4 linked regions of the Elephas maximus indicus genome follow. The protein of the gene in region 1 interacts with the protein of each later gene in a pairwise test. Links are inferred from orthologs where the notes say so. Each region holds a gene or a part of one and is shown on either strand. Other genes may lie near its edges. The genes, in order: ABI2, TRAF3IP1, CCDC102B and cone-rod homeobox protein.

Evidence for each region.
Region 2: the proteins of ABI2 (region 1) and TRAF3IP1 interact in a two-hybrid assay, tested with the Homo sapiens proteins (2 studies listed by BioGRID and IntAct). The link is inferred for Elephas maximus indicus from reciprocal best matches to the Homo sapiens genes ABI2 and TRAF3IP1.
Region 3: the proteins of ABI2 (region 1) and CCDC102B interact in binary tests that used the Homo sapiens proteins (3 or more experiments, as listed by UniProt). The link is inferred for Elephas maximus indicus from reciprocal best matches to the Homo sapiens genes ABI2 and CCDC102B.
Region 4: the proteins of ABI2 (region 1) and cone-rod homeobox protein interact in binary tests that used the Homo sapiens proteins (3 or more experiments, as listed by UniProt). The link is inferred for Elephas maximus indicus from reciprocal best matches to the Homo sapiens genes ABI2 and CRX.

What each region holds. Positions count from the first base shown.
Region 1 is NC_064824.1:101,916,010-101,922,947, forward strand, and holds the start of ABI2 (abl interactor 2), read left to right. Parts: upstream 1-3,914; 5' UTR 3,915-4,149; coding exon 4,150-4,266; intron 4,267-6,938. UniProt on the Homo sapiens protein: Regulator of actin cytoskeleton dynamics underlying cell motility and adhesion. Functions as a component of the WAVE complex, which activates actin nucleating machinery Arp2/3 to drive lamellipodia formation.
Region 2 is NC_064824.1:140,403,281-140,410,428, reverse strand, and holds the start of TRAF3IP1 (TRAF3-interacting protein 1), read right to left. Parts: upstream 3,024-7,148; 5' UTR 2,997-3,023; coding exon 2,874-2,996; intron 1-2,873.
Region 3 is NC_064829.1:76,615,129-76,622,750, reverse strand, and holds the start of CCDC102B (coiled-coil domain-containing protein 102B), read right to left. Parts: upstream 3,012-7,622; 5' UTR 2,956-3,011; intron 2,168-2,955; coding exon of another isoform or gene 2,122-2,167; exon of another isoform or gene 1,691-2,121; intron 1-1,690. Other genes in the region: protein disulfide-isomerase TMX3, read left to right, coding at 2,122-2,167, 3,173-3,227. UniProt on the Homo sapiens protein: During interphase, forms fibers at the proximal ends of centrioles to maintain centrosome cohesion. During mitosis, dissociates from the centrosome following phosphorylation to allow centrosome separation. Contributes to CROCC/rootletin filament formation.
Region 4 is NC_064829.1:101,073,868-101,080,736, reverse strand, and holds the start of cone-rod homeobox protein, read left to right. Parts: upstream 1-3,859; coding exon 3,860-3,959; intron 3,960-5,716; coding exon 5,717-5,868; intron 5,869-6,869. UniProt on the Homo sapiens protein: Transcription factor that binds and transactivates the sequence 5'-TAATC[CA]-3' which is found upstream of several photoreceptor-specific genes, including the opsin genes.

The sequences.
Region 1 (6,938 bases):
TAGCCAAGGGCAAACGATTTGGACCACCCGTGGACCTAGAAATGTGTACAAATAATATGAAAATATCACTGATTATGATTTTTCTTATTTGGGGTAAGAATGGGAACTCAATTAATCATGCAATTGTTTGAATGAAAACTCTGCATTTCCCCTGAGTACTGTGTAATATCTAACAGAGAACTTAATTACATAAAAAGGAATTGTGTTAAATTTCATTGTGTTTGTGAGTGTATTACTTTAAAATGTCATGAAAGAGCTCTAAAATAAGATTTGTTTCTAAAACTTCCTTTGTTCCACTCTCCCATTTACTAGCCATGTAGCCTTAGGCAATCACTTAACTTTTCTGAGTTTCATATTTCCTCATTGGTAAAATGTTGGGGTAGGACCTAGATTTTTCTAAGGTACCCTCCAACTTGAACATGCCATAATTCTATAATATACGATGAGGAGCAATTGAAGAAATGGGTTCTGTTAAGCCCTAAAAAGAAAAGAAAAAAAATAATGAATGGCTTCAAGTATCTAAGTATGCCTTTGATCTTTACAGTTAAAATAAAGAGAAGTTTGATTTGTCATGTTACAATGCAAAAGAAAAACGTTTTAAATTATCAAACCAGTGTGGAACCGCTAACTCCATGACTTTTAAGCAGGTTTGGTAAATTTCTAACTTCTTTTGTTGTTTTGTGCCCTCAGTCAATTCAGCCCCATAGCAACCCTATAGGACAGTGTAGAACTGCCCCAAAGAATTTCCAAAGCTGTAATTTTACGGAAGCAGATTGCCCCATCTTTTTTCCAAGGAGCGGCTGGTGTGTTTGAACTGCTGACCTTTCTGTTAGCAGCCGTGTGCTTAACCACTGCACCACCAGGGCTCCTTTAATCCTCATTTTTTGGGACTGTAAAATATGGGGATAATAAAACCTACTTTTTAATATTTAAGAGTTAATTTATGTAAAATGTTGAATTAATCCTGGCACATAGTAGGAATTAAGCAAGTTACCTGCTTTTTTTCTCTTTCTCTACAACTGTTAGTCTTTAGTACTTGAGAGGGCCAAAACGATATACAATTTATGGATTTTGTTTATTAATTAAATAACTTAGCAAGAGTAGTACAATAGCAACACAGAACCTAAAATAGTGTCCTTTTTGCCAGGGTTATTGATGATAATGATTGAAACAGAGAATGAAGGTAAACTGGAAAAAGTTTTTACAGTTTTGTGGAATATCATGTAATTTAAATGTAAATGGAACTACCAACTACTCAGTTGCCCAAGCCAGACACCTGTCTACCAGCATGGATTTATCCTTTAGCTTCCACATGGAATCATTCACTAACCCCTTATGATTTTACCTCAAATATTTCTCTTATTCCACCCACTTCTTTCATCACCCTCCCTGAAGATCACCATCATTTCTTACCAGGATTGCCCCTAGAGTCTGCCTTTAGCAATACTTTCCTGGTCCTTTCTCCATAATGCATCCATGCTAAATTTACTTGATGAATGAATAAACGAACATTCTGAGTTTTCCAAGATCAGAGGAAGTCATTCCGTGTATAATGGTTATACTATAATTTGATTTTTGTTTGGCCTGTTTTGAGCCTGAACCTAGCAGTGCTTGTTTTTAAATAGTAGCTTTGTGGTTAGCAAAAAATAGTTACTTAACCAGTTAAATGAGAAAAGATGAGTTCCTGGATGGTGCAAATGGTTAATGAGCTCTGCTGCTAACTGATTATGTGGGAGATTTGATTTCCATTCTTGGTGGAAATTCCCCGCTGCCAGCAACTAGAATCATAGACCTTCAGATGGAGAAGGGCAGTTTCATTGGCATCTCCTGGGTTCATTGGCATCACCTGGGAACTTATACTAGCTGCTGTCAAGCTAATTCTAACTCATGGTGACTGCACGTATGTCAAAGAACTGTGCCCCATGAGGTTTTCAATGGCTGATTTTTTTGAAGTAGATCGTTGGCCTTTCTGGGTGGATATGAACCTCCAACCTCTCACTGAGTAGCTGAGTACTTTAACCATTTGCACCACGCAGGAACTTCCAGTGGACTTGTTAAAAATATAAATTACTGGGCCAGGCCAAATGATCAGAAATTCTGGGGGTGGAGCCCATCAATCTGTGTTTTAACAAGCTTTCTAGGTGATTCTTATGCATGCTCAAATTTGGTAACTACTGACCTGAGTTTGTTTTTTTCAGCTAAGAAAACTAAGGTTCAAAGAAGTCACAAATTAGAAGAAGTATACACCAGCTGCTCCTTGGAAGCCCTATGGGGCAGTTCTACTCTCTCCTTGTAGGGCTGCTGAGTTAGAATCTTAGAGTGGGCTGCCTTGCTCTCCCAGTGATTCCCAGGGTGATGAATCATCCCTCAGGGAAATCTGTTTGTTGGGCTAATTGATAATCAGTTAAAAAAATTTTTTTTTTTATTTGAAAGGATGCTAGGTGGGAATAAGTGTAGTAAGGGAAAAGTCTGCCTATAATTTAACCCACCTTGTAGGCTTCTTGGAAACCCTGGTGGCGTAGTGGTTAAGTGCTACAGCTGGTAACCCCAGGATCGTCAGTTCAAATCCGCCAGGTGCTCCTTGGAAACTCTATGGGGCAGTTCTACTCTGCCCTATAGGGTCACTATGAGTCAGAATCCACTCCACGGCACTGGGTTTGGTCTCGATTTTGTGGGCTTCTTACAGTTCAACGAGAAAGAAAAATGACTGTAGGAGGGCCAAGAGATCAAAAGAGCAAGAACAAGAGCTGAAATAATGGATCCTGTTCTAAACTACAAATGCCTAAAATGGTACACCTGGAGTCAACCTTGACTTTCCCCAGTACAAATAAAAGTCACAGACTTAATATCTCAGCAGTTGTCAGGAGTTTTAGTTATTGAAGAATGACATTCTGAAGGCTACTTAGATTTAGGGAAAAAAAGATATATATAAGTTGAATACCTGGAGAAGAAGAACAGAGTGATGTAACAACTCTGCAAAATCAAAATTATCTACAATTTTTGTAGCACTTCGCTTTTCAAGGTGCTTTCACATAAACTTTTATTTTATCCATGTAACAGCCCTGTAAGGAAGAAAATTAGTACCAGCAAAACCGTTTTCAGAATTTGAAGTACTGAATTCTGGAAGAAAAAGACAGCGACGTTCACAGAACCAGGGAGATGACAGAACAGGCTGTCAGTGAGGAAGAGAACCATGGAAGAGGGCAAGCACAAAAAGCTGAGCTCCGTGTGCTGTCACACAGTAGGGAGAGCAACTAGGGTCACACAGCAATGTGCGTATAAGTTTTTGTAGGAGAAACTGACTTGAATTGTAAACTTTTACTTAGGGCAAAAAAAAAAAAAAAAAAGCTGAGCCCCAGGGGACGGGCAAAGGAAGACAGCTCTGGTGGTCAAGTAAGTGCAGTAAAACCGAGAGTACAGGAGATCTGGGATGAAGAAGCTGGAATTTACTTATCCGTACCAAAACGGATGAGCTTTAAGATGAAGAGAAAAATGAAAACTGAGGCGGCACTTAAAGCTGCACGGAAGTTTTGTGAGTTTGATCCCAGCCCTGAGAAGATGTGATCTTTCGCGGAGGATGGACTCCTCGCCCTTCAATCAGCAGCAGAGAAAAGCCTCGATCTGCACAGGGATCCGGCCCCCAGGGTGAGAATAACGCCGAAAGTCGTGGAAGACGCCGGCGGGATGACAGCGGAGCAGGATAGCGCCTACTTGACCGGCTAACAAAGGCGTCCGAGCGGACTTCCCCGGCAGCGGAACTAGCGGGGGGCCGAAGGGTTAACCGCGCGCCCGGCTCCCGCGCGTATCCCGGCCCCCACCCCGCCGTCGCTAGGAGACGCCGGAAGTGGGGGAGGGGCAGGCGGTGCGGCCGAGGGTGGGAATCTTTTTCGGGCTCCCGGGGGCGGAGGGAGGGGAGCGCGCGTGCGCGTGCCCGGCCGGCCGTCGCCGCGGTGACCGTTCTCGCGGTCCGTCGGCTCGCGCCCCGCCCCCGTCCACGCCGCCCCCTCCCCTGTCGCGCGCGGGGGGTGTTTCTCGCTCCGGCGGGTTGCCGCTGCCGCCTGTGCTCCTCCGCTGCCAGCCTTGGGTTTCCCTGGCGCTGCCGCCGCGGCCACTTCTGCGGTCTGTATGAGGTGAGAGGAGGATGTGAAGATGGCGGAGCTGCAGATGCTGCTGGAGGAGGAAATCCCGGGGGGCCGCCGGGCCCTCTTCGACAGTTACACGAATCTGGAACGGGTGGCCGATTACTGCGAGAACAACTACATCCAGGTGCGACGCATCCCCCGGGCGGGGCCGTCGGGCCTCGGCGGTGAGGGGCGTGCGGAGGACCCCCTGGGAGGGGGCCGCGTTCCCGGGGTCGTCGGGAGCGGGCGGAGGCCGCCGCGGGAGAGCTGGCCGGGCTGAGCCCCTGACGGGGGGGTGCAGGGTGAAGACTGGGACAGGGGATGGAGAGTGGGTGGGAATCCTCGGCAGGAGGAGATTGTGGCTTTTAAAACATTTTTAAAAACCGTGAATCAGTCCTCGGCGCGGTGCGTGTGTCGTGTCCCCGCCTCCTCGCTTCTCCTGCCCTCATCCGCCCCCGCACTCGGTGCCGGTCTGTGTTCGGGATGGCAGGGGAGGCGGAGAGTGGCATTTTCTATTTGCCAAAATTCTGCTCCCCCACGTAGGGAGGCTGTGGAGGGGAATGATAGGTCACCCCCAACCCTCAAGCACTGGAGGATTTTTAAGGGGCTGTGTTGCTGCAAAGTAAAATACTTCGGTTTTCTATTCATGTGAATGCCTCAGAAGACCATTTTCCCCCTTTAGGTCTAACGGGGATACGGTAGAAGAGCAGTTGTTTCTTGTTGGAAATTATTGCCATTTTTCTCCTTATGGGAAAGGGAAGCTGCGTGATAATGAGCTGCTCTCCCCCCCGCCCCCCCGTCCCGTTAGATTGGTAATTTTCCTGAGAGAAAAAGGATTGTGATTGTTTTTTTAGAGAGAATTAGGAAAATGAACCTCATGGTTTAGTATTCCCGTGATTGTTGGTTTGGCACAGGGACTCATAGTGGTAACGGTGCGTGTGTGGCATGTGTGTGTATGTATGTATGTGTATGGGGGGGTGGAGGAGAGTGGCTATTGGGTGAGATGAGATCCAGCTGCTCCAGGATAAAGCAGAAGATTCTGGATTTGGGAAAAAAAAAAGTCCTTTAAAAATTATTTGAAAGACTAGCAGGATAAAACGCACAGTTTGCAAATTCAGCATCTTTTGTTTCCTTGATGATTTATTCTGAATTACAGGTTCTGCGTCCATTTTTTTTTTCCTTCCCGTTTAAATTCTCTTGGGATAAAGGTGGAAATGGAAACTGTTAAATTGTTTCTTCACTCTGACCTTTTTTTCTTGCTTCCACCTCCATCTCTCCAGGCATCTTTCTTAACATCAGCTATACTGGGAAGCATTCTTAAGTCTTAGAGTAAATTAAAAAACAAACCCAAGTGTTAAAATATATAAGTTCATAAGTTTTGTAAGGAGGGTATGGTTAATGGTGGTAGTGTGAGATTTTACTTGATTAGACATATACTGAACTTTGTTTTATGTTGTAGGGAATATTTCTGTTGGAGAATGAACCAGGCATAATACAAGCTTTTTCCCTCCAACGAGGCAGTTGAAAATATGTCTAATTGGAAAAGGAAGGCTGTGTCTTGGGTCAAAGATTAATACAAAAAATACAAATGTCTGTATTGGCAGGGTACTTCACTGATACTGAGTGAGGTCAGAGAGATTCAAAAGTTTAGTTTCTCATTTTTTCACTAAATGTATTTGAATGTCTTTGTGCTCAGCACTGTGCCCACGGAGTGCCTAAAAAAGATCCTTTGCCATCTAGTTGGTTCACACTTACGACGACCTCATGTATTACAGGGTAGAACTGCTGCATAGGGTTTTCTTGGCGATCATCTTTACTGAAGCATATCACCAGGAGTTTTTTTGAAACACCATTGGGTGGGCTCAGACTACCAATGTTTAGGTTAGTAGTGGAGCACAAACAGCTTGTGCTACCGAGGGGTCTTATACTTAGTGCCTACAGAGTTTTATAGTCTAGTTTTTAGGAGAGGCTGATGTGTGAGCAAATTAATACCATATAGGTCTGTGACGGCTGGGGTAGTTCTGTGAACCAATGGGACAGAGTAGAATTGCCCAGTAGGGTTTCCAAGGAGCGGCTGGTGGATTTGAACTTTGACGTTTTGGTTAGCAGCCATAGCTTTTAACCACTGCACCAGCAGGGCTGCATTTTGATTTGGTGATTTATACTCTGTAATAGACTGCAGGTGGAAAGAAAAACTGGCAGAAGCTATGCTAGTCTCAGAAATTCACAATCTGTAGGAAAGGCAAAACCTAAAGGATTGAAGTGTTAATTGCATTGCCTTGTGCTCCGTATTATGGGAAAGAGTTGTAGTCAAAAGAGAAATTGAGGATGGAAAAGTGATTGGGTGTGGTTATCACCAGTAAGTAATAAAAGAAACAGATTTGTATCTCTTACGATTGCTACATAAAGATAAAAGTAAATGGATTAATAAAGCCAAAAGGGTACAGGCATCAGTGATTGTCTTCTTTTTATATATTTTTTGTAGCTGAAAAAGAGGACCATTACTGCCACCATTATCTGTCTTAGCAATAGGACTCAAAAATTAGTGTGGTGGTGTTTTTAAACCCAGTGTATAAATATTGATGTGATAGAAATGGATTTGGGTTTTTAAAATCCCTAATTTCTACAGTTTAGCATTTGAAGTAGACTTTACACTTTTACTTCTTAGATTACCATCTGTTTTAGGATTCAGTAGCTATATTATTGACGCCCTCTCTCACAATGACAGCTCTTACTTGGTTTGTTTGTCGTATAGTTGATAAATAGAACATGTTGCGGTGAATTTGTGCTGATCCAGCAGCACATTTGGCTGGCTTT
Region 2 (7,148 bases), about 38 Mb from region 1:
AAGGAGGTAGCAATTAGCATATATATTTTTACCCAAGTAGAGAAATCGTTTTCGATACTTAAAAAAAAAAAAAAAAAAACCCGTTGCCATCGAGTCAGTTCTGACTCATGGTGACAGAGTAGAACTGTGCTCCACAGGATTTTCTTGGCTGTAATCTCAATGGAAGCAGATCGCCAGGCCTTTCTTCCATGGTATTGCTAGGTGGGTTCAAACTGCTAACCTTTAGGTTAGCAGTGGAGTGCAAACACTCGTCCCCACCTCGTTGTTGTGGTTGTTAGGTGCCATCAAGACAGTTCCAACTCATAGCAACCTATGTACCACAGAACAAAACACTGCCTGGTCCTGTGCCATGATCACAATTGTTATGCTTGAGCCCACTGTTGCAGCCGCTGTGTCAAGCCATCTCATCGAGGGTCTTCCTCTTTTTCGCTGACCCTCTACTCTACCGAGCACGTAGAAGACAAAGCAGACCAGTCAGTCCTGATTCAGAACACCTTGCTTCTTCCACACAACGTGTCCACCTCGCCAACCAGTCAATTCTTCTCGGAATTCTTCTGCTCTCGTTTCCCATTAGGATGCTCCAGTCACACCAGAGAGGTTCAGGAACCCGCAGTGTACTGAGCACGTGGCAGCCCTGACAGGCCCTCTGCCGCCCTTCTTCGGGGCTACATTTTTGTTGGGGAGACAGACCAACACGGAGGATGAAAGGGTAGACCAGAGGCACCCGCAGTATTGTCCGTGCTGCCGGCTCACACCTGGCTCACCCCTACTTGCTGCCCCTCGGCTGAGGGCGACACAGGGCAACCGGGACACAGCATGCTCCCACCCAACTCTCAACGCAAAGTGCAGGACAGGCTGGGAGAGAAGCACCGGCTGAGCAGAGGAGGAGACCAATGCAGGCAGCACTTGGGGTTGGTTAGGATCTGAGAGAGGTTTTAGGCACTGTAGGGTTTTTAAATGAGGCACTCCTGGGAGGCACACGTGATCAGCAAAGGCGAGATGGCAATGCAAAGTCTGGGGAAGAGTAAGGTGACCAAGCAGTGGGAGTGAGGGAGAAGAAAAGCGAGAGGACCAACAGGCCCGGGGATAAGGGCTAAAAGCCCCCAAGTACAACCTGACTCCTGATTCCCAAGGAGCACACCCTCGTCCAATGTCTGCCCACAAGTCCACCCTGGAAACAGGCGCTGCCAGCCCCCACATACACCCTCCCCCAAGGGTTACTAGGAGCCTTGACCAATTCCATTCAACGAGCCAATGTTTGCTGCACAGCCTCTGTGTACTGTACCTTACTCGTGGCAGCTCACCCAGGATATGCCAACAGAGAAGTTCCAGTCTCCGTGGTTCAGGAACTGACAATCAAGAGGGGAAAACCACCCCCACCTGTCAGTTTGTTGTACTGCAGTGGCTTGTGCATTGCTATGATGCTGGAAGCTATGCCACCAGTGTTTTAAATACTAGCAGGGTCACCCACGGTGGACAGGTTTCAGCAGAACCTCCAGACTAAGACTAGGAAGAAAGGCCTGGCCACCTACGTCCGAAATTAGACAAAGAAAATCCTGTAGATCACAACAAAATATTGTCTGATACAATGCTGGAAGATGAGCCCCCTGAGCTGGAAGGCACTTAAAATACTCAACAGTGGACTTGGACATACATACCATTGGTCACGAAGATGGCACAGGACCAGGCAACATTCTATTGTGTTGTACACGAGGTTGCCACGAGTCGGAGCCAACTTCAAGGCAACTAACCATGATGACAACCACAGCACGAAAAGGTACACAGCCAGCCAGTATCTACTTAAAGCAGACTTATCACCAAGCAGTAAATTCCTCCACTAGTTTTTCCTTTCAGGCCTCCCTACGACCACCTCCAATAAATTCACCAGCAGGTATTTACTAAGCTTGCAAAATGTGGTGACTGCTTTGCCTTGCACTGTCGACGGGCACCTAGAAAAAGAACTCCATTTTCTCAAGGTTTACTGAGCACTTTCCACGTGCAAGGCCTTGCAGGACCCCAGGAGGAAGGCAGCAGGCCCCTCCCGAGCAGGGGAGGGGAATCACCGAGACAAGCGTGGAGGACCAGCCCTAACTAGACACCGGTAGGCAGGAAAGCAGAGTGCTCCCCAAGGGGCCGGGAGGATGGGTAAGAGGAGAGCAGGGGCGAGGGCAGCAACTCTCGCAGAAGGCTAACAACAGCTTAGGCCCAGTGGCCGCCCCCCGCTGCAGGCCAGGCCAAAGGCCGGTCTCCGCGGGCAGGAGCCCCGCAGAGCAACGCCAGGCGCCCGCTGCCACCCAGCCCCGGGCCGAGCCCCGACTCGCATCTCCAGCCCGCAACCTCGGCCCTGACTCCAACCCCAACCACTCGCCCTGACCTCGACCCCCAGCCCAGGCGCCGATCCCCGGCCGCAAACTGCACTCCGGTCCGCACCCGAGGCCCGACCCGACCCCTGGCCGCGCCCCGGCATCGACTCCGACCCGCACCCCCACCCCAGCCCCCCGGCTCCCAGTCCGCACCCGATCCCGGCCAGCACGCTGACCCCGGCCTGCACCCCGACCCCGGCCAGCACGCTGACCCCGGCCCGCATCCCCCACCCCGGTCCGCACCCCGACCCCGACCCGCACCCCCCACCCCAGCCCCCCGACCCCGGATCCGCACCCCGACCCCGGTCCGCACCCCGGCCCTGCCCCGCACCCCGCACCCCGACCCCTACCCGGATCCGCACCCCGACCCCGACCCGCACCCCCCACCCCAGCCCCCCGACCCCGGATCCGCACCCCGACCCCGGTCCGCACCCCGGCCCTGCCCCGCACCCCGCACCCCGACCCCTACCCGGATCCGCACCCCGACCCCGACCCCGACCCGGCGCCCACCTCCGTGATGATGTCGTGCAGGTAGCGGAACGGGGGCTTGCTCAGCAGCTTCTCCGTCAGCGGCGGCCTCCGGATCACCTTGCCCAGCGCGTCCTGCGTCCGCCTCACCACCGCCGCGTTCATGGCGGCGCCCGCGCGAGGCCCGCCCGGCCCGAGCCCCGCTCCCGGCCCCCGGCCCCGGCCCGCCGCCCCGGCCGCGCTCCCGGCCCAGGCCCCGCTCCCGGCCCCGCTCCCGGCCCGCCTCGCCGCGCCGCCCGGCTTCCGTCCCACAGTGCACGGCGGCCGCCACTGCGCGTGCGCGTCGCGCCCTCCGTCGCTAGGGCAGCGCGGCCTTAGCAACCGACGCGCCGCCGCCCCGCCCGCTGGACCCGCGCGGGGAAGCCGCCAGGGGGGCCTGTCCGGGAACAGCGTGTTCTCCGGGATCCGTGTTGTCTGTCTCACAAAAGGCACGGGCGCTCGTAGGCAGGTTCATGGGAGGGGCTGGACTGAAGTATCCCAAAAGACACGGAAGAAAAATGCCCTCGTCCATCTGTCACTTACTGTGGCTTTTCGGACAGGTAACTTGCTTTCTCTGAGACGCCATTTGTTTCCGTAAAACAGGGACGATAATGTGACTGTCTGCCTTACCTACCCCCCAGGATCGAAATCAAACCAGTTACCATCAAGCTGACTCCAACCCATGGGGACCCCGTGTGTGTGTCAGAGTAGAACTGTGCTCTCTAGGGCTTTCAATGGCCGACTCTTCAGAAGGAGATCGCCAGGCCTTTCTTCAGAGACACCACTGGGGGAACTCCAACCTCCAACCTTCCAGTTAGCAGCTGAGCGCTTAACGTTTGCACCACCCAGGGACTCCACCCAGGATGGTGCAAAGGGAATGACCTAGGCAGGGAGACCCCATGGAGGCCCTGCTGTGCACCGAGGGCACAGGCCTGACTGCCCACTTTGGCACTCATGGCTATCAGAGACCCGCAGCTGAGGCGTATCCAGGCATCAAGGTGTCTGAGAGACACTAGCAGCATCCAGGACAAAAGAGCAGAGCACCAGACCCCTCGGAGAGACTGACGGGGATTGACCAGGGAGTGGACCATCCTCTGGGAGCACAGATTCGCTCCAGGCCCTGCTGTCCACTGCGTCGTCCTACGTGAGTCCACTCCTCCACACAAGAGGGCACAGGCAAGGCTGAGAAGAGGCAGCCAAGGACCCCAGATGCAAGAAAGACACCCGGAACCAGTACTCAGTGGGGGCCAGAGGGAGGGGCTGGCTGGGAGGGCTGCCTAGCCTAAATTACCTCCCAAGCTCCTCAAAGAACCATGAAAGCACTGAGGAAAAAGGCTGAGAATATAAAAACAAGTTATTCATAAAAAAGAGAATCAGCTGGATGACTGTAGAAAAACACAGACAGAATGTGTTTGACAAATAAAAGCCTGGCAGGGGAGGCTTTGGAAATCAACAGTTTCTGACTGAATGCATGAAACAACCATGGCCATGACTCAGACAGGGAGAGAGAGCCCCACGAAGCCTTGTCTCCAGGCCTTGCCTCCCCAAGCCCACCCGACAGGGAGGCAAACATTCCCAGAGACAAAGGCCTGAGGAGACTGGCTTAGCCCAACCCTGAGCTCCTCATCTGCCCAGGGCCCAGGATATGGGTCAGCTTCAGGGAACGCTGGGCAGCAGGGACCAGGCACGGGGAAAGAGTGGCCACCTCGCCAGCCCTGGACCCGCAAGAGCAGCAGAGAGTTACTGCTAGGGTTGCCAGAGAAAATACGGGACAACTGGTTAAACTGAAAACCCAGACAAACATCAAATAATTTGTTAGTATAAGTATATCCTGTTTAGGATATACTTATACTAAAAATTTGGAGCCCTGGCGGCTCAGCTGCTAATTGAGGGCTTTAACCAAAAGGTCAGTGGTTCAAATCCACCGGTGGCTCCAGGAGAGAAAGCTGTGGCAGTCTGCTTCTATAAAAATTACCTGAAATTCTATTGGGCAGTTCTACTCTGACCTACAGGGTCGCTATAAGTTGGAATCTACTTGATAATAGGATTTATACTAAAAATTTATTCCTTCTTTATTTGAACTTCAAGCTTAACTGGGCATCTTGTGCTTTTGTTTGCTACATCTGGCCACCCCAGCTGTGGCAGCAAACAAACGCCTGTTCACTGGGGCCTGGAAGCCCCTCGGAGCCAATTTCTCCCACAGGTGGGAACCATCTCCTGTGCCTGCTGCATCCAGCTTTGGGGTACAAATCAGGTCGCCGCCCTTCGAGTGTCTGTGTGGCCATCCCTGAATCTCCCTTTCTGTCTGGCGTAGGCTGGAGGAAACACACACAGCAAACAATCACACTGGAAGTTATTATTCAAGCCTAGGGAGATGCCCTGCCCTTCCTCCCACCAGGCCCTTCCCTGGGGATTTCCATACTTCACACCTTGCAGAAAAGGGTTGGGGGTTTTGATCCCATCCTCTCCCCACAAAAGGCCTTTGAGCAATCTATGTCATTTTCCCAAAAATTTTTAAGCTGTGCTTGTAGCAGCTTCTCTTGCAGGGAGGGGTGTAAGTTCTGCCTCACGAAGCACCTTGCGGGGCATCCAGACTTTGACGACAGAGCCATTGTAAATGCTGCAAACAGGTAAGCGGAGCCGGGGGACCCGCTTGTTTGCCCACCAACGCAGGCCCAGCCCACTGCTAAGGTGGGGACCCAGTGAGCCCGCACCGGGAGGTGCAGAGGAACCCCAGATGTTTTCAGGGAGCCCCTAACCACACTCCTGTTGACCAGTCTCCACTCTGACCCCAGGCACACAGAGCAAATTTTATTGTTGTTGTTATTATAAAGGCCAGGGTATTTAAAGCCTGAGAAATGTTCTCGTAGCTTCAGCAACCAGCTCTCAGGAGGCTATAGCTTGGCTATAGCTGATACTGTCCCTGCCCACGCAGCCCCTAAGCCCCATTCTATGACTGGAAAATGTCTATTTTATGAGTCTTGAGGGGGTGAGACTGCTTCCCATTTTGGGAGCTGAGAATGGAAAGGATTATTGTCCCAGCCAGCCTTGCACCGGGGCATGTCATGTGACCTGGGTCCACCAATCACGCACACACCTGCACCAGACTTTGCCTCAGGTGCCAACAGTGCAAGAAGACAGGGGCCCCGAGCTCACTCTCACTGTCTGTCTAGCTGAGGGTGGGGCAGGTGCAGGTTTAGCTGCCGGCCCAAAAGTGACCATGGTCCAAGCTTACCTCCAATGCAATGTGTTCTAGGGCTCTGCTGCTAGCAGTGCTGTCTCAAACTGGGCCTTCCAGGCACCAGATTCAAGCAAGGATGAGGAGACTTTGTCTTACGTACTTTGAACGTGTTATCAGGAGGGACCAGTCCCTGGAGAAGGACATCATGCTTGGTAAAGTAGAGGGTCAGTGACAAAGAGAAGACCCTCAGGAGATGGATTGACACAGTAGCTGCAACAATGGGCTCAAGCATAACAACGATTGTGAGGGTGGCGCAGGATCGTGCGACGTTTCCTTCTGTTGTGCACAGGGTCGCTATGAGTCCAATGCGACTCAACAACACCTAATGACAGCAACAACAAATGTAGGGAAATATTTTGTTTTATACTCACATGAGAGAGAACAACCTTTCTGAACAGACACACGGACACATAGAGGACTTATAACTTCAGCCCTTCAGCTTCATCCATAGATCAAAAATAAACACAAAAACCCAGCAGTCCAGATCTCAAATAGCTGTCCTCCCACCCAGTGGGCATGAAATCTTCATTGATTTGACTCACAAATAGACAAGCAGGCAAACCAACAAGAGCAGCAATGTGGATTCTCTGCCGTTTGTCACCCACAGAAGATTGGTCTCCACCATCTACACAGCAAATAACACTAAATGGTCAGATCACAGGACCAAATCCCCATCATAGTGCCACCAATGATAAATGACTTATTGGCCAGGAGTGAAACAGAAATAAAAACAAAAAACACAAAAGCAGTAGGAAAAAAAAAGAGAATCAGTGAAGTTAAAGTTCTTTTGCTGCTTGGGTTCTCTCCAGGAACCAAGAGGTGCCCAGGTTTAAATGGCCCACGAGGTGCACTTCTCTGGCACCACAGGTTACTTGGCTAGGCAGGGGAGTACAGCTGGGCATCTCAGGGGAAACTCCAAAATGATCGAAGTGTAATTTTCCAAAAGGTAGAGTCAGGACTCTCCTGCAAATATAAAATGACCACTTGTGAAAGATTTTATTCAATTCATTGAATTCATGAGGAAACTAGTAAGATGT
Region 3 (7,622 bases), on another chromosome or scaffold:
AGTAAATGCTCTAATATATACAAGTTCACAACAACAATAACATCAAAAAAACTGTGTGTGGTTACATAGGCAGATACGTATGCAAATATGTGTATAGAAAGGCATATGTGAGTAAACGTACCTGCATGTATAGGAGTATCTGTAGGCATTTGTGCGTGCTGGATTTTTTTTTTTTTTTATATAATGAAGCACATAAGGGACACAGTTATGGAAGCTTCCTGAGCATATCCAAACAACTTGTGGGATTGGTTTACTGGGTTAAAAGCAAGGCTTCAAACTGGTTCATTCCAGTTTGAACCCTACTGAGAATTTACATTTCCACCCCAGGTATACTGAATCAGAATCTACATTTTAACAAGAACCCCAGGTAATACTCATATAATAAATCTTGAGAACCACTGCTCTGCTAGTGATTCTCATAATTGGTCCCTAACCAGGAGCATTAGCATGGCCTGGGAACTTGTAAGAAGCCCTGGTTAAAAGACTTAGGACCATAGTCTAGTGGGACAAATCAGTCAATTGGCATAACATAGTTCATAAAAATAATGTTCTACATCCTAGTTTGGTGAATAGTGCCTGGGCTCTTAAACGCTTGTGAGCAGCCATCTAAAATACAACTATCGGTCTCAACTTGAATGGAGCAAAAGAGAATGAAGGAAACCAAAGGCTCAAAGAAGAAACTAGTCCATAGGACTAACAGCCCACAGGAACCACAGCCTCTTTTAATCAGAGACCAGAAGAACTAGGTGGTCTCCGCCTACTACTACCGACCATTCTGACCAGGGACATAAGAGGTCTGAGACAGAATCAGAAAACAATTCAGAACAAAATTCAAATTCCTAAAAAAAGGCCATACTTACTGGACCAAAAGGGATTAGAGGAATCCCTGGGACTGCTGGCCTAAGATACCCTTTGAACTTGGAACTGAAGCTATTTCTGAAGGTCACCTTTCAGCCAAATAATAGATTGGCTTAATAAAAAAAACAATATTATGCATGTATAATGTGCTTCCTCGAGCAATCAACTATACGAGACTAAATGGTCGACATTTACCCAAAAGCAAAGATGACAAGGCAAGGAGGGGAAGGGAAGCTGGATCAATGGAAACAAAACAAACAGAATGGAAATAATGAGAATGCCGACATATTATGAAAATTATAACCACTGTCACCAAACAACTTGTATAAAAATTGTTACATGGGAACCTAATTTGCTGTGTAAACTTTCACCTAAACCATAATAAAATATTATTAAAAAAAAGAAAATATAGAGGAAAAAAATCATTACAAATGATACAGGCCATTTTTTTCAGTTTTCAAGAGAAACAAATTTTAAAAAACGGACTCCTTTAGTTAGCAAAAATTTATTAAAAGAACTTAAAAAATGCCCAATTTTGGAAACAGGTTCAAACAGCTTCCAAACACGTTTTGGAAATGTAGGCAGTGTCACAGAACCCGGTGATCCAGGGCCCGTTTTTCTCCCCACACTAAGGCGTGCCTCTCTTCACGAGTGTGATCCACCAACCAACGCACTGGTGGGCTCACTGAACAGGTGTAGCAGGTAAATGAGCAGGCGAGATTCAACCTCAAACTGCGTTTTCGAAGCCTACCTCATCCTCAGTACAAAGCTTAGTATTAATTTAAGAATTTGTATTTCAGTTTTTCGTCTCCCCTTCACACACACACACACCTCTTCGCCCAAACCGCAAGAAGCCCGCGCCACCAGGTTCCCATAGCCCCCAGACGCGGCCAAGGGCACAGACGCTCCGCGATAAGGCGACTGCGCGTGCACGTCATCTCGCGATTGCAGCCCGCTAAACCAAGCCCAGAGGGGGCGAGAACGGAGGCCCGCCAGCCCCGCCCCGCCCCCCGCGCAAGCCCAGAGGAGAGGCTGGCCGGGTCCACTAGGGAGCAGAGGCTCGCCCGCCCCGCCCCCGCGGTCCGCGCATGCTCAGAGGCAGGGCCGGCGGGGTCCGGGAGAGAACAGAGGCCGGGTTGCCCCGCCCCCGCCTTCCGTGCCCGGCTTCATTCCGCGTTCGAAGGGGCCCGCTTCCCCTTCCGGAGAGCGGCGGCCGGCGCCTGCGTCTGTCCCGGCCACTGCGGAGTCGCTACTGCGGCGAGCATGGCAGCTCTGAGCAGTGCGACCGCCTTGCGCCTCTGCGCCACAGGTATGGCCGCGCGCGAGACAGGAGAGCCGGGGATCACCCCTGCGCCGGGGGTGGCCTCTGGACTGGGGGTTACCTGCGGGGTCCGCGGGGACGTCTGCGGGCTCCCGGCCTCCCCCTTCGGACCCCGCGCAGTCCTGCGGCGTCCTGACACCTTAGGGTCCTCCACCCACTCGGCATTGCAGTGCATACCCGGTGCCAGGCCCCAAAAGATGCGCTGTCCCCCAGGAGATTCCCTGTCCTCGTCTTCGTCTTTTGTGGCAGGGGTACCGTCGCCCTGGCTTCTCAGACAGGCGAGCAGGTGACACTTTCCCAACGTGTGGCCACATTTTGCTTTGGCTTTTTAGGGGCCAAGTGTTGTCGTATTTGGAGGGTTTTCACCATCCATGGGCAAAGGGAAGGATGGTCAAGGACAGATCACTATCAGACCGCTGGAATTGTGCAGTGACGGCGACAGCGGTGTGGTGACCCTTTTGGGCCTCTTCCTGCCGGCCTCCCTGCGTTCACTTACTCAGCAACCATTTGTTGCCTTTCCACTATGTGCCAGGCACTGCTCTGTCATAAGTACTAGAGTGGTAGCTCAATTCTGTTTCTATCTAAATATTAAAAAAATAATAATATTTTGGATGGCACTTGAAGTTAGAAGTACTAAGGAAAGGGGAGAAGTATAGAACAATTTCTGTCTCTGCTCCGAACAGGTGGAATGCTAAAATGGAAAAATAGGATCAGAGGAAAGATATGTTGAAAAAGAGCTTTTATATTTTGAATTTACTATCATACGTAGGACTTACCTGTCACAGGGAAATTACGTTGCAGAATAAATATCTATCAAACAAATGAACTCCTTGTGGTTTTCCTTCACTTGTACCCCGGGATGAATCAGTGATAGAGTTTCTGGTCAGAACATCAAAAAAAAAAAAAAAAACGTTTTATAGATGACTAAGCGTCAAGTGTGAACGAAATGATAAATCAGAAGTATACATTTAGTCTCTTCTTTCTGTTTTTCAGTTATTTTTCTTGACATGGCTTTTGGTAAGAGTGTGGTGCCAGATTTAGATGACTCGTGAGTATACGTATTTTGTTTCAATAGTATTTTAATTTCTAATTCTGTTGTTAACCTGAATATTTACATGTTCACATCTTAATAATCTAATTCTAATCTTAATAAAAATAATAGACACTATGCTCATATATTACCGATTTTATCCCAGGAGTTCTAAGTGCTGTTTATATATGAGATAGGGTTATGCTCAAAAGAGTTTTACTGATATTTACAAGGTCAAAAACGTGGCAGACCTTTCAATATTCTATATTACCATTCTATAGCACCTGAGTGAGTGCCGGAATTTGGGACATACTATATCTTTTACCCCCACAGCATTAGTCCCAAGACCTTGCTTATAGTAGCTGGGGAGCCTAGCTCCAAGCCAAAATCCTGTATGTACTCTTTCAGGCCTGACCATAAGCAGTTACTGGCAGGCCTCATGGGAGAAGCTGCGCTGCCCACACCAGACGAGTTGCACAGCTGGTGCCCTGTGGTGTCTGGAGGGAGTTGTAGTCAGGCTCTCAGGACCCCTCCCCCCATAATTGCCAGCCATACTCATATGCATATCTGCATTCTTAGCCCAGGCACCTCCATTTGTTACTTGTTACTTCCCTTCACTTTGACCTTCCACCCTCAGGCCCCCCCCCCCACCCCGCCCGCCCAGTTCATGAAGAGGAGAAGCCTTTTGCTTGTGGCTCCTCGGCAGCAAGAGGATTCCCCATCTGCGCTGCATACTTACTCGGGTGCTCTGCGTGCAAAATTGCGTCCAGTGGTTGCTGTTAGCTCCCAGCACGTCCTGGTGCCAACAGACCTTCTTCAACACAGCAAGTTATTGAATCTCAGGCCTTCAGTAAAAAAGAATGTAGGGCCTGTCAGGATCCCTTTGCCCAGCAGCCTGAAGAGACCTTAGAGCCTCGGTTAGTTGGCTTCCATAATGAAGAAGTTGATCTTGTTAAACTTAGTGAGGGAGTGGTGCCTTGTAGGGCATGTCATTACAGACCTCTTTGCAGATGCACTGACAGGAAGCCTTAGTTTGCCTAAGGAGGAGGTGGCTAGTGAGAGGGCATGAACATCGAGACTCTCCTTCTGCAGCTGGGTACTGTTTGGGCTCTGATAGGTCTGTCCCACCTATGAAGAGTTTCCTGCCACTGAAAAACATGTCTGGGCCACCCTCTCAGACTATAGTGTCCCTGTGAACCACCCTGGTGGTCCGTTGGGTCTATAATGAGGGATTGGGAATAATTGGGTCATGAGACTGTTAACCTGACCCAGATTTCTAGGTTTTTCCGTACTACTCTCTCTGGTTACCTGGCCCAGTTAAACCTCCTCATGAGGTCAGGTCATTTGGTCCATGATACAATCTGAATCTTAACTGACATTCCCAGACGTGGAAAAAATGGCTACTGCCAAGATAGCAAAGATCGACCAACAGAAGAGTGGTAACCAGGTGCCTTTTCCTGGGCAGCCCGGCCAAGGGCCTTCCTGAAAAGACTCAGTCTAGTTACTTGAAAATAGGGGTCTCAAAGGAGGAGATTGATAGGCTTTCTGCCAAGGAACTACTGGCCAAGTACTTTGATATGGAGGTCTGACAGGCAGCTTCATTAGTATCTGCCCACTGATAGTCCCTTGTGGCTAATACAAGTGTTGTCCCCAGTGGAGTTGGAGACCCCTGCCAACTTTACTTGGGTGTCATGAATTGAATTGTGTCCTCCCAAAAATTCTTGTCAGCTTGGCCAGACCGTGGTTCCCGGTATCATGTGGTTATCCTTCATTTTGTGATCTGATGTAATTATGTGTTGTAAATCTTAGCCTGTGGGGAAACCCTGGTAGCATGGTGGTTAAGTGCTGTGGCTGCTAATCAAAAGGTCAGCAGTTCGAATCCACCAGGCGCTCCTTGGAAACTCTATAGGGCAGTTCTACTCTGACCTGTAGGGTTGCTATGAGTCGGAATCGACTTGACGGCAGTGGGTTACGGGTTTTATGCTTATGGTTATGGTCCCATTTTGGAGTAGAGTTGTCTACTATGTTAATGAGGCATGATTAGGTTATATTAATGAGGATCAAGGTGGGATGTACCACCCTTGCTTGAGTCACAGCTTTACCTTACAAGAGATAAATGGAGAGAGAAGGAAACAGAGAGGAGGGAACTCCTACCACCAAGAAAGAAGTACTGGGAGTGGAGCACATCCTTTGGACCTGGGGTCCCAGCACTGAGAAACTCCTAAACCCAGGGGAAAATTGATGAGGACCTTCTCCCACAGTGGACAGAGAGAGAAAGCCTTTTCCTAGAGCCAGCACCCTGATTTGAGACTTCTAGCCTCCTAAACTGTGAGGGAATAAATTTCTGTTAATACCATTCACTTGTGGTATTTCTGTTACAGAAGCACTAGATAAACTAAGACACCGGGCCTCTCATCTTTAAAAAATACACAAGACTAGGGGTTAGCTGGAGGTTCCTTTGTCCTCAAGGGGCACCAGAGGTCTTATGCCAAGATCATAGTTCTGAGAGAAAATTGCAGTTCTTGGGCCTTTTGGATACTGGTACACAGGTGAGTGTGATCACTGCAACTCCTGGCACCAGCATGAGAGGGAAACAGATCATACCATCAGGTTTTGAGGCCACTGCCACTGATACCCTGGCCTAAGCCCAAGTAACCTTCAGGTTCTTGCATACCTGCGTTTATTGGCCACTCTGCTGAATATATTACTGGTATTGATGTATTGTCAGGGCGCAGAACTACTCACCTTCACTCTTAAGCCCTGATGGGAATTATTGTAGTAGGGCCATCTTAGTGGGGCATGTGGAAGACTGTAGTCCCCCTGGCACCTGGGCGGTACACATGGTTAACTGCTCGACTACTAGCTTTACTGCTAGCTCAATTACTAGCCCCCACAGAGGCGCCTTAGAAGACAGACTTGGCAGTGTGTTTCTGAAAGGTCACAGCTTTGGAAACTATATGGAATGGTTCTACTCTGCACACATGGGGTCACCATGAATCAGAATCAACTCAATGGCAACTAACAACAACAAAACCAATGTCCAGTGCAGTTGTCTCCTAAAAATAGTATCAGCCACCTGGAGGAGAAAAAGATAGAACCTTCCTCATTGCTGAGCTTAAGGAAGCCTAGCCTGTCTGGCTTGTGCAAAAGGCCTTGGGTGCCTGGACTCTTTCCATTGATTATAGGCACTCAGTGCTGTAGTCCCACCCTTGGCACCAGTGATACCTGATATTGTGATTGTCACAGAGGCTGTCACCCAAGCTGAGAGAACTTGGTATTCAGCAGTTGACATCACAATTGCCTTTTTAGCATAACCTCTCCATGGGTATGAACAGGCTTGATTTGTCTTCATTGCAGAATGGGTTGCAATCCGCATTAAAGGGTTCTTCCACAAAACTACCTGAATTTCCCAGCTGTCTGCCAGCAATGGGTAGTCCATGATTGGAAAAAGTCTCACTCCCAGTGGGAGTACTAGCCTTGATGACATCTTCCTGGTGGACCCAGACAGTCATCACCCGATAAGGGCTGGAGGTCCTGATGACACACATGCAGTAACACAGCTGGGCCATTAACACAGGCAAGGGACAAGGGCCTCTAGTATGCAGGTGAAATTCCTGGGCATAATGGAGTCACAACGACTCGTTCCAGAGAAGATTGTCACACTTTTGGCTCTCTCTGCCCTAAAAAATAAAAAAGAGGCACAGCGATTTCTGGACCTATTCAGCTACTGGCATCCACCTACTGGGCTGTTACCTTTAAGTGGGGCCTGACCAACAGGGCACCAGGAGTTCTCTCCAACACACCCACCTGGATCCCCTTCCTTTGGGTCGCACCCATCCACTTTTGCTGTTTGACTTATAGGTTTCAGCAGCTTCTCAGATTGGAACCTGTGGCAGAAAATCATTGCCACAGGCCAGCAGTGCCCATTGGGCTTTTGGACCTCTGAGTTCCTGGAGTTGACTGAAAGATATACACCTTTTAACAAACAATTATTGGCCTCTTAGTGGATGCTGAGAACATGAGCCATGATCATGAAGTAGTCATACAACCAGAAATCCCAATCAAGTCAGTCTGAGCAGAGGCCTTGGATTACTGCATTGTGGCAGTTCAGGAATCCTTTCCAGTCTCAGGAGTGCCCCTACCCGTCCCAGGCGTATTGACCAAGGATCTGCTGCCTCCACTGGCCCATTAGGGACCCAGATATAGAGACCTTCCAGACCACACATGGGCCTGGTTCACTGATGGCTCTGCTAGATTAATTTGTACTGGGGTGAAATGGGGTGCAGCTGCCAGTTAACCTGAGAAAGACCTGCCCCTTACTGAGTGTGGTAAAGGAAACTCAGCATGATGGGCAGATTCATGCAGTATGGATTACTACTCTGGCTAACCCAACAAAGGAGCTCTGCTGTATTT
Region 4 (6,869 bases), on another chromosome or scaffold:
TAGCCTCAGAAGTCACACTCTTGTCGTTCCTGAAATATCCTGTAGGTTACACAGGTCAGCCCTAATCAGCGTGGGAGGATATCACACAAGGGCGTGGATACCAGGAGGCAAGGATTATTGGCAGCCATCTTGAAGATAAGGAATGCTGATGGTGCAATGATTAAGTGCTCGGTTGCTAACTGAAATGTGGCTCTGTGGAAGAAAGGCCTGGTGATCTGTTTCCATAAAGGTTACAGCCAAGAAAACCCCATGGAGCTCAATTCCACTCTGTAACACACAGGGTCGCTATGAGTTGGAATTGACCGATGGCAACTAATACCACCACCACCATGCTTTAGGAACTGGGGATATAGCAAGAACAAAGACACAGCATCTCTGTTTTTGTGGAATTGTATTTCTAGGTTTCAGTCAGAGAACTGACAATGAAGAAGGAAACATCAGACAGTATTAAGAATGCTGAGGAAAATGAATCGGGGTGATGTGATAATGAATGGGTTTACTTACACCAGGGCATGGTAGACACTCAAAAAACATTTACTGGATGAACAGGAGAAACTCAATTGATGATAAATAAAAAATATCCGTCAAGAGAAGGATGAAAAGAACAGGGATGAGAAGGAATGGAGGGAACAGGTATTAAAATAGATGCCATCCATTTTTTATTCATTTACTTATTTTTCTATTATTTTATTGGGAGTGTTGGGAATACCGCAGGAAATGAGATAAGCCCAGTCCCTGGTCTCAGGTAGCTGACAGAGTGGAATGAAACGGACAGGTAAACAAACATAGAAATACATTATTTTTTTTTAATTTATTTTATTTGTTCTTGAGAATATACACAGCAGACCATACACCACCTCAACAATTTCTACTTGTACAGTTCAGTGACATTGATCACATTCTTTGAGTTGCACAACCATTCTCATCCTCCTTTTTCGAATTGTTCCTCCCCACCATTAACATAAACTCACTGTCCCCTAAGCTTCCTATCTAACCTTTCAAGTTGCCGTTGTCAATTTGATCCCATATAGTAGATGGTTCTTAAAAGAACACAATGCTCAAGGCAGACATTCTTTGCTAGTTAAGCTAAGCTATTGTTTGGTTTTAAGAAGACTTCAGGGGATATTTTTGGTCTAAGGTTTAAAGATTATCTCAGGGAGAAATATGTTATATATAACATACGCCATGTCCTGAAGGACAGGGGAGAGAAAATGTGTGCGTGTGTGTGTGTGTGTGTGTGTGTGTGTGCGGTCTCCAGTTTAGAGTATTGCATGGCTCCCTGGGAAATTATGTCTCAGCTGAGACCTGGAGGATGTGGAGGAGAAAGGGGGCTTAGAGTGGGAAAGAGTCATTCCTGATCTGTTGTTGTCAACTTGTGTCGTGAGTGTCATGCATGTCAGAGTAGAACTGTGCTTCATAGAGTTTTCAAGGCTGTGACCTTTCAGAAGCAGATGGCCAGGCCTGTTTTCCAAGGTGCCTCTGGGTGGGTTTGAATCGCCAACCTTTCAGCTAGTTGAGCGCTTAACCTTTCGTGCTTAACTGTTGGTAGAGCTATGTACTAGAGATCTTTTTAAATCAGTTCATGCCGAACAACCTTATTCTTTTTATTGGCTTCACAGCATCCCTTTGCATAGATGTGCCATAATGTACTTAGCTATTTCCTTTTTGGGTGGATATATAGGTTGCCTCCACATTTTGTCAATTATAAATATGTTTCATTAGAAATCCTAGTATTTACAAACCTCTTTTTGCAAATAACAATGACAAAAATAATCGCCAAGAGTTATATGTTGTTGTTGGGTGCCATCTATCTAGATGATTCTGACTCAGGGCAACCCCATGTGACAGAGAAGAACTGCCCCGAAGTGTCTCCTAGGCTGTAATCTTTATGGGAGCAGATGGCCAGGTCTTTTCTCCCGTGAAGCCTCTGGGTGGGTTTGAACCATCAGCCGTTTGATTAGGAGTCGAGCACTTAACTGTTTCGCCACCAGGGCGTCTAACAGTTGTAGGGCACTTGCTTTGTGCATCGGGTGCTATTTTATGCACCTTAAACATTGGATCCTCACAACAACCTAGAAATGCTAGATTCATCCCCATTTCACAGTGAGGACACTGAGGAACATCCTGGAGGCGAATTGCCAGAACAAATGAAAGATGGTGCTTTACTTTAATAAAAGCTCCCAGTATGTTCCAATTTCCTCTGCCACGCACCCGATAAAGGAGTGGAAAGTCAATACTGCTGTTGTCGTTAGCTGCTGTTGAGTCAGCCCCTGACTCATGGTGACCCTGTATGTTACAGAGCAGAACTGCTCCCTAGGGTTTCCTAGGCTGTAATCTTTATGGAAGTGGCCTTTCTTCCATGGAGCCGCTGGGTGGGGGGTTGAAGCACTAACCTTTGGGTTAGGCACCCATCTCAAACTGCTTGTGCACAGTGCACAAGTGCAACTATTTTGATCTTTGCCCAACTCATAGGTCAAAAACGGTCCCTTTGCTGTCGTTTTAATGTGCCTTTCCCTTACAGTGACCAGCCATCACGGTTTGTTGTGGGCTGTTCCAGTGTTAGCGCTGAAATCCCCACGTCATAGGAAGCCCCTTGTCCCAGTGGTCACCCTCGTCTCCTGGTGATGAGTGAGGCTGAATATCTTCTCCTGTGGTCATAAGGCAGAAAAGATCTTGGAGAAAGAAGTGGCAGAATCAGGCTTTTTTTTAAGGGTAATGTACACACAAGGAGCCCTGGTGGCGCAGCGGTTAAGCACTCAGTTGCTAATTGAAAGGTTGTCCGTTTGAACTCACCCACTGGCTCTGAGGGAGAAAGACTTGGTGATCTGCTCCTGTAAAGGTTAAAACCAAACCAAACCCGTTGCTGTCGAGTCAGTTCGATTCTATTCCGACTCCTAGTGACCCCATAGGACAGGGTAGAACTGCCCCGTAGGGTTTCCAAGGAGTGGCTGGTGGATTCGAACTACTGACCTTTTGGTTAGCGGTGGGTCTCTTAACCACTGCGCCACCACAGCTCACCTAAAAATAACAGCCTAGGGGGCAGTTCTACTGTCACATGGGGTCTATGAATCACAACCGACTCCATGGCATTCAACAACAACCAAGTACACACTGATTCCGTGTTTGTGACTCTGCCTCCTCGCTAACATTTTTTTGTAACCCCAAAGTCAATAGTTACGCTGCTTTTCAGGTCACTTGCGGACGTGCGCGTGCGCATGCACAGGGCAGAGGAAACTGGGTGGCTTGATGCGCACCTTTGCAATTGAGGTTGAACAAGGCTGGTTCTGTTTCCGCTATTTCAGCGTTCCAGGTGACTTTATAAACCGTACGCATAAAACCAAACCCGTTGCCGCGGAGTCAGCTCTGCACAGGACAACGGCAGTACTTTATTTCCAAGCAAAGTGACTGTAGGGTTACTGTGAGTCAGAATCGACTCGAGGGCAACGGGTTTGGTTTGGCTTGGTTTACAAAGTGAGCACTCAGTTATCTGTGGCGTTATCCTTTAACTGCTTTTTGTATTACGTTGAACTATATGGAATTGGTATTTCTACAGGCTAAACGTGAGCAATGTGGTGTTTCAACCGCATATGTCATGGGGTTGCCATGAAGCAGAAGAAACTCGCCAGCAGCTTGTCTTTTTTGGATGATGTCTTCAGCTCTCTGCTGAAACCTCAGTGAGGCTTCAATAGCCGGAAACACAGAGCTGTTTTGCAGTTGAGGAAATTAAGGCACAGAGAGGCGAAATCGATTGCTCAAGGTCATATAACTAAGCAGAGACTCAGGTCATGGGCAAGCGTTTGAGCTTCCCTGTTCTTCTCTTGCAGGCCCCCTGACCTGGAGCCCAGCATCCTGGAAGATCATGATGGCGTATATGAACCCGGGGCCCCACTATTCCGTCAACACCTTGGCCCTGGGTGGTCCCAGTGTGGACTTGATGCACCAGGCTGTGTCCTACCCAAGTGAGTACAGTCATCCAGGCCACCCCAGGCTGACCCCACCTCTTGGGGGGGGTTCTTGGGGGTCTCTTGCTCTCTTTGATGAGCACCTGCAGGGGTGACATCAAGGCCATACACCAGCTGTATGTGTCTGTCTGCAAATGCAAAACAATACCACGTGTCACTTAGAAGTCGTTAGTTGCTGTTGAGTTGATTGCTACTGATGGCAACCCCAGGTGTGCAGACTAGAACTGCTCCATAGGATTTTCAAGGCCTTTTGGAAGCAGATCACGTCTGTCTTCCAAAGCACCTCTGAGTGGGTTTGAACTGCCAACTTTTAAGCTAGCAGTTGATCGCTTAACTGTTCGCATCCCCCAGTGCTGTCAAGTTGACTGAGACTCATGATGACCTTACATACAACAGAATGAAATGTTGCCCGGTCCCACATCATACTCACGATCGACAGCATATTCGAGTCCACCGTTGTGACTATTGTCCCAGTCCTTCTCACTGAGGGGCTCCTTCACCCTCATTGGCTGTAGATTTCACCAAACATGATGTCCTCCTCCAGTGATTGATCCCTCCTGATGATGTGTCCAAAGCAAGCCAGTCAGACAATATTCTGTTATGATCCAGGAAGTTTTCACTGGTTAATATTCAGAAGGAGATCACCAGGCCCTTCTTCCTAGCCTGTCTTAGTCTGGCAGCTCCATAGAAACCTGTCCACCATAGGTGACTCTGCCGGTATTTGAAATACTGGTGACATAGCTTCCAGCATCATAGAAACACACAAGCCACCACAGTAAGACAAACTGACAGATGGATTGTTGACAATTCACTGCTTAGGGATGTGGAAAAGCATAAGGACATTCACAGAAATTTCGGATGGCGGCTCCCTCTAGGGTGGGGGTGGGGACAGCAGCCTGGATGGAGAATCAAGAAGAATTTATATCTGTTAGCAAAGCAGCAAGGAGCTCAAACATAGCAACGATTGCGAGGATGGCGCAGGACCGGGCAGTGTTTTGTTCTGTTGTACACAGGGTTGCTATGGGTCAGAACTGACTCGACGGCACCTAACAACAGCAGCAGCAGCAGTGCTTTATTTCTAAGCCCAGTAAGCACTCGGTCATTTGTGGCATTATTCTTATACCTGCTTTTTGTATTATGTTGAACTACACGGAATCGCCATTCTTATGAACTAAAATTGGTTGAACATCAGCAATGTCATATTTCAGCTGCGCAGTACTAAGATGTTGTTGTTGTGTGCTGTTCAGCTGATTCTGACTCATAGCGACCTTATAGGACAGAGGAGAACTGCCCCATAGGGTTTCCAAGGCTGTGATCTTTATGGAAGCAGAATGCCGCATCTTTCTCCCTCGGAGCTGCTGGGTGGGTTCGAACCACAACCATTCCTTCGTTTAGCAGCCGAGTGCTTAACTGTTGCACCACCAGGGCTCTCTGCATAAGTTTTAGTGCATAATAAATTTCAGAAGGGGAAAGAAAAACTCACGTGCCTCCTTACACGGCTAACACCAATTTCTCTCAGGATGAGGCCTGAACCCCAAAATGAAAAAAGTGTACCCCATTTTCTGGGGGACAAAATGAGGTCTAGAAGGACAGGGAATGGGAGCATCCATAGTCTGGACAGATAGACACCCAGAAAAGGCTTCTTGAGTCCCCACCCGACCTCACAGCCTCACCCCAGCTGTCCTGGCACCCATAGAGGACGAGAGTGGGAGGCTGGGTTGCCTGAGCGCTTCATGTTCCTGTTCCCACCTCAGGCGCCCCAAGGAAGCAACGGCGGGAGCGGACCACCTTTACCAGGAGCCAACTGGAGGAGTTAGAGGCCCTGTTTGCCAAGACCCAGTATCCGGATGTGTATGCCCGTGAGGAGGTGGCTCTGAAGATCAACCTGCCTGAGTCCAGGGTTCAGGTGGGATGTTCTGGTCCCTGGGCTCCTCCTGGACCATATAAGACTTCCATGGACCTTTCTGGTACCCAGGGGAGGGCGGAGGGAGGGGTCATAGAGTAACAGCCAACATTATGAAGTGGCCTAAAGCCTCCTCCCATTATTTTACTGATCTCTCTTGCCACTCTCACCCTTTCTCATTTTACTCCAGCCACACTGACCCCTGGATCTTCCTCTAATGTGCCTTCTGAACATTCGCCTGCCTTAGGACCTTTGCACTCTCTGTTCCTGCTATCTGAAATGCTTATCCCTCAGATAACCACATGGCTTGCCCTATCACTTTGTTTAAGTCTTTGTTCAAGGGCTGTTTTATTAATGAAACCTATACAATACTGACTATAGGGTCGCTATGAGTCGGGATCAACTCAACGCCAATGGGTTAGGTTTTTTTTGGTTATACTGACTATTGCACGTAAAATTGCAACCTTCTACCACTGCAGTCCTTCTGCTCCCCCTTATCCTGCTCAGTGGTTTCCTTCCATAATATTTATCACCTCCAAAAATACAATATGATTTACTTACCTACTGTTTATTTATAATTTGTCTCCCCCAACTAGAATGTCAGTTCCACTGAGGTATCCACAAAGGAGCAGAAGATGGTTAACAATGTCTATAGTTTATTAAAGGATTCCTGGTGGCACAGTGCTGAAAGGTTAGCAGTTTGAACCCACCAGCTGCTCTGTGGGAGAAAGGTGTGGCAATCTTCTCCCATAAAGATTTACAGCCTTGGAAACCCTATGGGACAGTTCTACTTTGTCCAGTAGGGTCGCTATGAGTCGGAATCAACTCAGTGGCAATAGGTTTTTTTTTTTTTTCATAGTTTATTAATTCATGCTTATTAACTGATTGAATGCATGCACAGATGGATGGATGTATGGATATTATGTATGTATGGGTAGATAAATGTATGTATGTATGACTGATGGATGGATAGATGGATATATGTGTGACTGAATGGATGAATG